Saccharomyces cerevisiae S288C: one gene and its partners. Changing the gene in region 2 together with the main gene of any one other region gives a genetic interaction. Each region holds a gene or a part of one and is shown on either strand. Other genes may lie near its edges.

The links. A genetic interaction does not mean that the proteins touch.
Region 1: mutations in HOS3 (region 2) and PML39 impair growth when combined (synthetic growth defect), as found in Saccharomyces cerevisiae (one study listed by BioGRID).
Region 3: of HOS3 (region 2) and GRX7, extra expression of one is lethal in a mutant of the other (dosage lethality), as found in Saccharomyces cerevisiae (one study listed by BioGRID).

The regions. Positions count from the first base shown.
Region 1 is NC_001145.3:54,765-58,040, forward strand, and holds PML39 (Pml39p), read right to left. Parts: upstream 1,506-3,276; coding exon 501-1,505; downstream 1-500. Other genes in the region: YML108W (uncharacterized protein), read left to right, coding at 29-346; orotate phosphoribosyltransferase URA5, read left to right, coding at 2,009-2,689; RNA-binding signal recognition particle subunit SEC65, read right to left, coding at 3,102-3,276. UniProt on the Saccharomyces cerevisiae protein: Involved in the nuclear retention of improperly spliced pre-mRNAs.
Region 2 is NC_001148.4:327,840-332,207, forward strand, and holds HOS3 (histone deacetylase), read left to right. Parts: upstream 1-1,766; coding exon 1,767-3,860; downstream 3,861-4,368. Other genes in the region: isopentenyl-diphosphate delta-isomerase IDI1, read right to left, coding at 25-891; GTPase-activating protein BEM3, read right to left, coding at 4,261-4,368. UniProt on the Saccharomyces cerevisiae protein: Responsible for the deacetylation of lysine residues on the N-terminal part of the core histones (H2A, H2B, H3 and H4).
Region 3 is NC_001134.8:266,225-269,097, forward strand, and holds GRX7 (glutathione-disulfide reductase GRX7), read right to left. Parts: upstream 1,113-2,873; coding exon 501-1,112; downstream 1-500. Other genes in the region: alpha-1,2-mannosyltransferase MNN2, read right to left, coding at 1,486-2,873.

The sequences.
Region 1 (3,276 bases), on a different chromosome or scaffold from region 2:
CTACACTAAGACGAAAGAGAAAAACGAAATGTCCAAGAGTAATACTTATAGGATGCTCGTCTTACTAGAAGACGACACCAAGATAAATAAAGAAGATGAAAAATTTTTGAAAGGTAAGCCGGGAAAAATGCATGAATTTGTTGACGAGTTGATACTTCCATTTAATGTTGACGAACTGGACGAATTAAATACCTGGTTTGATAAGTTCGATGCCGAAATATGTATACCGAACGAAGGTCATATCAAATACGAAATTAGTAGCGATGGTTTAATTGTACTTATGCTAGATAAGGAAATTGAAGAGGTTGTCGAAAAAGTAAAGAAATTTGTCGAAGAGAATAACTGAAATAATGATGTTGCTTCGGTTTTTTGCATGAATATAACGTGACTGTTGCGTATGCATATGTGCACGTAATTTAAAGAGAGAGTGACAGAATCTGCGCATCAGCATGGGGGCATATACAAGCATATGAGAATTTGGATAATGTATTACATCTAATTTATAAAGTTTGTAGAACAGCCTCTAATTTATTTAGTCTTTCTCCCACGCCCAATTTCGTTATTAGTTTGTCCTCCTTGCCGATTAACTCCAGCAACATTGTGGGCAACAACTCTTTGTTGTAATACCGACACCATAGAGCGTGTCCGTTAAATTCTGTATATTCTAACTTCTTCAGGGATGCTCGATGAAAGCAAGCCGTGCATTGAACCAGATCATCCTTCTGGAATTTCGTGTAGCCGAGAAGCAACAGACCTACGAGAGAATAGTCTTTACAATCGAAAAAAAATGCCAATTTTTGTATTTCTTTCTCAGACAAGTAATGAAATATACGGGAAGAGTTTCTTTTAAGGCTAAATTCATTTGATCCGGAAACAATTCTGTCAATTTCTGTATGAATTCTTTCAATTTCCCTTATAAGGTTTTGTGAGCTTAAATAATACTCTTTGTTTAAATCAACCTGATTTTCCCTCCACGGACACTTTTGGAGATGATTTCCAATTATATTGGAATTCCAGATTTTTTCATTCAATTTCATGGTGTAATCGGCGACATCATCGCCATTTTTTAATAAAGGAATTGTCATAATGGCATGGCAACAACAGCACTTAAATGGCACTTGCGACTGGGATGCACTTTGGTACGGCTCCCAGCCCTTGGATGCTAGAGTCAGTGGATTGACCCATCGAACGTCCCATTCAATGAGCACATGCCTTGTGTAGTTTTGAATGGAGCATATTCTTTTCAACAAGGCCCGAAGATCGTGTAATCGGAAACCAACAAAATGTTTAGAGCTTTCTTGTACCAAATCATCATACAATTGCACGTGGCTCTTACATTTTTCAGGCAACATTGAACTGCCATTATGGGATTTCTTCTTGTACCTCCATTTGGTAATAAGTCGCTCTCCTAGAGTATTCCTATATTTTCCCGGTAAAAGTTTGGTATTCTTGTCCAGCGAATGTCTAATAGACTTCAGTCTAACCTCCAATGCGTCCTTTTCCATTAGTAACTGCCCTACTTTCCTGTCAATTCCTGGGGAATAATGTTTTATTTCTCCTTTACCATAGATTTCAAGATGACAGTTACTTTCGTTCCGAATGACTAGCGCTTGAAAATTTTTCAAACATTTTCCATATTCAATAAGCAAAACAAAGAGCATTTTGATTTGATAACAATTGTTTGGTAGTTTGATCTCATCATCAATCAGAGGTTTTTAACAAATTTATTTTTTGAATACATTTCAAAAGGAAATTGCATTTTGTCTTTTTTTTTTTGGGAGAATTTTGTGGGGTATTTCAATCATTGTTCCAACTTTACGTTCCTTTTTTGAATAAAGACACTTCTTATTATTAACAGGCTTTTATTTGTCAAATAAGATTCATTCAAAATTTCCATAAAGCATTACTTCTGCGATATACTACTAACGGAATTTTGGTTGCGTATTATTGTGTCTGACATTGTATGAAGGATACACAAAAAAATTAAAGATTAAGAAAGTTATTCAAAATGCCTATTATGTTGGAAGACTACCAAAAGAACTTTCTAGAGTTGGCCATCGAATGCCAGGCTCTAAGATTTGGTTCATTCAAGTTGAAATCAGGTAGAGAATCGCCATATTTCTTTAATTTGGGATTGTTCAATACTGGTAAATTGCTTTCCAATTTGGCTACTGCGTATGCAATTGCCATCATACAATCTGATTTGAAATTTGATGTGATTTTCGGTCCTGCCTACAAAGGTATCCCACTTGCTGCTATTGTTTGTGTGAAATTGGCGGAGATTGGTGGCTCTAAATTTCAAAACATTCAGTACGCTTTTAACAGAAAGGAAGCCAAAGATCATGGTGAAGGTGGTATCATTGTCGGCTCTGCCCTAGAGAACAAGAGAATATTAATCATCGACGACGTCATGACTGCTGGTACTGCCATTAACGAGGCCTTTGAGATCATCAGTAACGCCAAGGGTCAGGTAGTTGGCTCCATAATTGCTCTTGATAGACAGGAAGTTGTGAGTACTGACGATAAAGAAGGACTCAGCGCCACTCAAACTGTTAGCAAAAAATACGGTATCCCAGTCTTGAGCATTGTCTCCTTAATTCACATAATTACCTATTTGGAAGGCAGAATAACAGCAGAAGAGAAAAGCAAGATCGAACAATACCTTCAAACCTACGGTGCCTCCGCTTAAAAATCAGTTTTTTAATTAAATGATTTATTTATCTCTTTTAAGAACTATTAATCTTAGTTACTACGATACATGCACGCCGCTCATCTATATATGTGTATAAATAGCGTATATTCACACACATATATATAGAGCGAGAGAGTTTTCTTGTTACTTTTTTCTGTGTTTCGGTACCTCTTGCCTGTAGCTGCTTCAAAACTCTTGGCTTATTGAACTCTGTTTCAACTACAGACGAAATAATACGAATAATTGATTTGTCTTGATGTAAAAATTTAAAAGCTGATACAACAAGTCATTTAGCACTTGATCTGAACAAACATCATATTCTTATAGTTCTGCTATTATAATCTATTAATATATTAATATATTAATCTCAATATACATATACATATACATAAATGGGTAAAGGAGACAATCATCTTCTAACTACTTTGTACTTATTTTTTGGTGGCTTGAACGACTTTTCTGCCGCTGTAATCTTAGGAGTTTCGTAAACAGATTTTGTCATTGGGTGGCCCATCAAGAACGGACTATGCAGCGGAACAATCTCATTCATTTTGAATCCCTTTACACGTGGAATCTTTTTGAAT
Region 2 (4,368 bases):
GTAGCCTATATTATTGACGCGTTGTTATAGCATTCTATGAATTTGCCTGTCATTTTCCACTTCAGAAAGGTCATCTAATTGCTCCCACCAGTTGAATAAGTAATTCTCGCAAATAATCTTAAACCAAGGCGTAAACTTGTAACTTGGGTCAGCAAACATAGTTTTCAAATCATTTGGTGAAACCCATTTGAAGTCTCTAACTTCATTGACGTTTGGGTTGACAGTCAAGTTTTCTTTAGCGTTGATCTTATAAAATAGGATGTAATCAATTTCATGTTCACCCCATGGTTCATTGCTTGGTGCCATGTAATGGATTCTGTTTAAAAAGTGAAACTTACCCCTTGTCTTAGTTTCATCTTCTGGAATACCTAATTCATGATCTAGTTTTCTCACCGCCGCAGTAATAGCGCCCTTAATCTTATCGTCTAGCTTACCCTTCAAACCTAATTCGTCATCAATACATAGTGGATGAGAGCAGCATGTGTTAGTCCAAAGATCAGGGAAAGTTATTTTTTCAGTGGCTCTTTGTTGTAAAAGTAATTCACCTTGTTCATTGAAAATAAAGACGGAGAATGCACGATGTAGTAAACCCTTTTCAATATTTTCCATTAAATGACAAACTTTCTTGGTACCGGCACCAATAGCATTATCGTCCCAATCCAAAACAATACAATTTTCATTCATTAACTTAATTTGCTCCTCATCATGACCAGAAAAACATGTTTCTCCGCTTTCGTCATTTGACGTCTCACTAGATCGGGTATTAGGTCTTTGTTGTAATGGAATAATTTCAGGAAACTCTTCCAAAATGTCTTCAGGTGTTTGGTTTTGCACTAATTTGGCGTAACTAGATACTGCACCATGGGGCATACTATTGTTGTCGGCAGTCATTGAGGTGTAATGAATTTTTGGCTTATTTTTACTCTTCCTGTATTCCAAATACGAATACTCTAATATTGAATTAAGTGGGATATACGCCTTCTTGTCACTAGAAAACTGTTTCCTGTTAAATAGATAAAAATGAATAAATAAATATAAATGGAGTTAAGACCGAAAAAGAAAGGCAACCCCCATCGACAAGAAAAGAGTTATGAATAATCATGTTTCTTAATAACAATTAAAGGGAAAAGAATCGGCTGGGCATCGTCATTGCGAAACTGTTGACTGGAAAAATTTCAATCACAATTAAGTTTTGTCCATTTCGTTCCAGCAAGAACGGAAACTTTTACCGATAGCAGCGGAAAAAAAGAAAAAAGAAAAAAAAAAGAAATTAATATAGGCAAAATAGCCGCATGAAGCCCTTAATAACCTATACTATTCTGTGACTGTTATTTATTTACCCTCGTAATATTAAAAATGTCCTATACAATTTCTGTAATAAAACCTAATTTTTTTAGGACCCTTGAGTGTTACCCTGCTCATGTTTTTATTTTTGTTTTAGAGAAATGTAAACAACAGTTTGGGAAAGTTTCAAGAATTGTAAACAACTAATCAAGGGATAATACTATTTTACTCTTTCCTTTAAACATGAAGAACTATTTTTTGTTTACGTTTTTTTCTGAATTGAACAATAAGATCTTGTTAATTTTTTTATCGCTTGATCTATTATCAGATCTTCTCTTTTGAAAAACTAGTCCTTTTCCAAATTACAAACTTTCTTTTCGTGTGGAGTTGATCAGTTCAGTTTCTCCAATACTTCTTAAGTCACTGAAAATATAACGAAAAAAAGGGCTCTGGAAGTAAACAGAGAAATTCGACGATATAATATGTCTTCCAAGCATTCAGATCCATTGGAGAGATTTTATAAGCAATTTCAAGCATTTGTTCAAAATAACCCTAATGTCATATCGGCAGCTCGAGCTGCCGCACAAATACCGGAATCTGCAAAAGCTGTTGTAGTACTATCCCCATATTCTTTACAGCATGTGTTCCCGAGAGAATGGGTAACAAAATCGTATAGGAAAACTATAGTCGAACGACCAGAAAGATTATTAGCAAGCTCGATGGGTATATCAGCTGCGATTACAATGTATCCATCCCTTTTCACCTTGAAATCCTCGCATCAAAGGAAAGGTTCATTGATGGCACCTCATGTGCTTAAAGTTCATGGCAGTAGCTGGCCGGCTGAGTTAATTGAACTTTGCCAAATGGCAGATGCTAAATTGCTAAAAGGCGAAATCGAAGTCCCAGATACTTGGAACTCAGGTGATATATACTTGAGCTCAAAGACAATTAAAGCTCTACAGGGAACAATTGGGGCCATTGAAACTGGTGTTGACTCAATTTTCAAAGGACCATCTGCAGAACATATTAGTAACAGAGCTTTTGTTGCTATACGGCCTCCTGGTCATCATTGCCACTATGGTACACCATCCGGCTTTTGTCTGTTAAACAATGCACATGTAGCCATAGAATATGCGTATGATACTTACAACGTCACGCATGTTGTCGTGCTTGATTTCGATCTACACCACGGTGATGGGACCCAAGACATTTGCTGGAAACGTGCGGGTTTCAAACCTGAGGAGGAACCTGAAGATTCATCTTATGATGATTTTGGTAAGAAATTTGCCGAATTTCCCAAAGTCGGTTATTTTTCTATGCATGATATAAATTCATTTCCAACAGAGTCGGGATTTGCCACAAAGGAGAACATTAAAAATGCATCTACCTGTATCATGAACTCTCATGACCTAAACATCTGGAATATTCACTTATCCAAATGGACAACCGAAGAAGAATTCAATGTATTATACAGGACAAAATATAGAACTTTATTTGCTAAAGCAGATGAATTTTTCAGGAGCGCAAAACTAGAAATGAATCAACAAGGGAGACCATTCAAAGGTTTGGTTGTCATAAGCGCAGGTTTCGATGCATCAGAATTTGAGCAAACTTCAATGCAAAGGCATAGTGTCAACGTTCCTACAAGTTTTTATACAACGTTCACCAAAGATGCATTGAAATTAGCACAAATGCACTGTCATGGCAAAGTTTTGTCTCTAATGGAGGGTGGATATTCTGATAAAGCTATATGTTCTGGTGTTTTCGCACATTTGATCGGTTTACAAAACCAAGATTGGGTTAAAGAATGGGGGTCTGAACAAGTCGTTAAAGAGATTGTTCGTGGTTGCAAACCGGCTTGGAAACCCTATAAGACAAAAAGAGCAAAAGATGTCATAAGAATATGGGCAGAAGAAGTTATCAGGCTGGGACGAGCAATGATACCGGAATTCGATGATATCATTTTTAAAGACGCAGTTAACAGCGCACCTTCTAATTCTCTACTAAAGGCTACTGTCGAACCAGCATCCACGTCGACAATTGCTCAAAGAATAATCAGATCTCATAGAAGCAACGCTTCCCCAGAAAAAGAACTTCATGAAAACAAGCCGAGAAGCACGGAAAAACAGGAACAAAGGGAAATTAGAAGCGATACCAAGGTCAAGCAGCTCTCGTCAAATAATAGAGCAGCTGAAACCCAAATTCCGTTTTTGCAACAAGAATTTTCCAGTGAGGATGAAGATGAAGAATACGTTTACGATGAAGAATTGAACAAAACTTTCAATCGCACGGTGGAGGATATTACCATTGATGATATTTCTAGACATTTGGAGACCTTAGAAATTGAAAAAAAAGGTGATGAAGATTCAGACCATGAGCTAAAAGAAAAAAATTGGAAAAACTCGCACCAACGCCGTCTACAAGGTAATGGAATGTATAAAATTCCCTCCAATACGAAACCGCATCGCATAAGACAGCCTCAAAACGCAAATACACCAACTTATGACGATAGTGATATATCAATGATTTCTCATGTTTCAAGAAAACATACAACAAGAAGTGGTGGAAGATGGTGATACCAATGCATATATAATGTTGTCTTGAACCCACTAAAGAAGTGACGCATATATTACTTTTTTGTATTTAGTAACACAATTTTTCTATTTTTATATTTCCTTGTATAGTTAGTAATTTTAATTTTTTTCCTTCTTTATCTCAGCTCTTCGACCATTTGGTCAAGAAGTTAGTTTTTTTCTCTTATTTTATTTGACAATATACTAATTTTATTATATGGTATTGTAAATAACATTTGAGGAATAAAAAGACAGTCACTCTATAAGCTTTATCAGCCTGACATTTTTTTATTATTACAAATATATCGTTGAAAGAAAGAAGCCTCTATACATCTCGCCCTCTTTCTATCATTAAATCAATGGAGGTTTACTGGCAACGTTATATTTCTACAATTTTAGACCATCAAACCTGAGGAATATGTATATCTACTTTCTCCCTTTCCTCTTCTTTAACTGGTTCACCACCCTGAAATATACACGCAAAGTCAGTGATGAATGGTTGAAGCATACT
Region 3 (2,873 bases), on a different chromosome or scaffold from region 2:
TTGATAGACGATAGTTGATTTTTATACCAACACTAGGAAACCACAATCCAAGATGAGATAAATATAGAGGAAAATACAAGTTTGAGTTTAGATCTGAAGTTACCTTAACATTTGTATAAGCAAATTCGCTACGCGACTCTCACATCAAAAACTGCTTCTATGGCCAAGTTGGTAAGGCGCCACACTAGTAATGTGGAGATCATCGGTTCAAATCCGATTGGAAGCATTTTTTTGAATACTGAAAAATTAAGCTGATCACCAAACTCATGTAATATATATGCTTGACTATACAAATTACAGGCTTCTTCTCATATTTTTCTGCTCTACGTTAACCTACTTTAAACAGTCCAAAAGGCTTATGTTGTCCACATGAAATGCCTAAAACAGATGGCCAATATTTAATTTTTTTCCTTACTACATTTAAATCTGTATACTACCTAAATATCCTCTTTCGCTACTGTGGGAGAAGAAGAAGAATAACTCTCAGTTTATAATCTGATCTAGGCACTCTCAGATTGCGAATTAGCTTTTACAGTAAACGCCCCATCGCTCCATTTTTTGAAAGAGTCTAGAAGTTCATCATTTTTATGTAACTCTGCTATCTCAGTATAACCACCTCTGGAAGTACCACCGATGATAACGTTTGGGACTGTTCTCCTACCAGTGACTTTTTCAATCTGGTCTTGTAGTTCTTTTGTGTGTTCGTGCCTATCCAATTCTACAACGTAGTAAGATGGAGAAAACGTGTACGAATTAGTCAACAAAGCTTTCAGTTTTTTGCTATATGGGCAGCCAGTCTTGCTAAATACAATCATGGGTGACTGTTCCATTATTTTGTTGTATTCTGCAGCGGCATCAAATTCAGCGTCCCCACTATTTTTATCAACTTCTTCGGCTTCCTTATCTTGTGTATTTACTGTATCATGGACAGATTGGTGAGTGCCAGGTGCATTTCCTGAATTGTCAAACGTCACCAATGAATCAGGATGGTGAGTAGTAATACTTTCGTTGACGCTAGCATTCGAATTCCTTAACACAAAAAACACAACAATGAGCAGTAAATTAGTTATTACCAAGACTCTCACGTTTCTTTTGTTTATAACAATAGCCATCTCTAATTTTCTTCAGTTGTTTTGCGTTTAATTTGAAAATTTTGCTTCTTTCCAATATATAGGTTTTTTCTTTTATTTGATTCGAGCTTTTTCACTGAGGGGATATGTACACATTGGCAAATATCCTGCCGAAAGTACTTCTTTATTTTTTTTCAAAACGCAGTCCCACTTACCGGTATGACGTAGTCTCGATTCTCAAATACACCCGGGACTGCATATTTATACATCTGTAGTAAAGTCATTTTATATGGATTGTGAAGGAAAAAATTTACATAACTGGAAGATAAATAAACATAACTATGTAAGGAATAGTAATAAGAATGTAGAAAACGCCAATGGAAGTTGTCCAAACTATAGTCCGACCCGTTGCATATTATTTACCGGCAATCGCCTTATCATGAGTAGATTCTAAAAATGCTAATCTATCGGTGATGTAACCACACACTCTTTTCCATTCCGTTTTATCCTGCCCTAAAAGGTCATCGAGATATTTGAAAGGATTCTTATTAACACAAACATATTCGTTTAAAACCTTGAAATTCTCTAGTTCAATATCGTAATTTTTTACCTTTTTTAAGGCCGTATATGAACGAGCAGGTTTACCATTCGTAGTCAAAAAATTGCTTTTAGATAAATCGTATGGGTCAAACTTTGGGAAGTTTGAATGGATGAACATAACATCTACATGATTCTTGGCATTTAAGTCCTCGTTGTCGAAAAATTCTTCGGTGTATTTTTCGAGGGAATAGTTTTTGTCAAACTTGATTGCATCAGCTGATTTAGTGCCACCGTATTTGTTGCCAATGCTCTCCATAGCATTTAAGTAACGGCCATAATCCTGCACAAAGTCGTGTTGTAACATTGCTACACCATGAAACCCGTCTTCATCATGGTAGCCTTCAACGCCTGTCCTTGTTCTAACTTGGTAAAATGATAGACCATAAAAGTTTGCAGCGGCAATGAAAGTTTCCTTATCACCTTCACCAGCAGCTTTTTGAGAAAATATTGGGTAGTACCACGTTGGTCCATTGACGTTGTAGAATAAAGATAGAAGAGCCGTAGCCAAATGCTTCGTTTTGTTTATCATCAGTTGGCCGGATTCCGTAGACACGTCGGGTATTGTTCCGTCTAGGTCACTTAGCGGGACGTCACTCAAATCCTTCAAATCCTTTGTGTAAACAGCAGGTGGGGTGATATCGTCTCGAGAATTGCGAACTCTCTTTTTCTTGTCCACAGCAATACCTGCAATGTCGTAATACAATGGGTGAGTTGTACGCCTCCAGAAATCGGGCCACATGACCAAGCCCGTAGACACATATGGTTCTTCATTGAATATGTTGTCTAGGGGTTTGATGGGGAAGTTGTCAGCATCCAGTAAGAGCAGGTTTTCAAAACTAGAAGCGATAAGGGCCAATGATTTAAACTGGTATCCTTTGAAAACAAATTTTTCAATCGTCTCTCGTGGTAGAATATCTGAAACGTAAATACACTTGGAGTTATACTTAGGCAGAATCTTGTTACAAAACTCAGTTTCACCTTCATCACCAGGAGGGATCAGGACTTCCACAGGTAACGTGGTCCCCATATTCCTTAAAGTCTTAATGATCAAAAATGCCATAAGGGAGAACTTCCCGCCACCCACTGTGGCTATACCGGACCCTTTGTACGTACCCTTTGGCGAGACGAGAGTCGCTATATGCTCTACGTAGTCCTTATGGCTTTTGGTCAGACTTGCTACTTCATCCGGAGATAGTTCCAAAC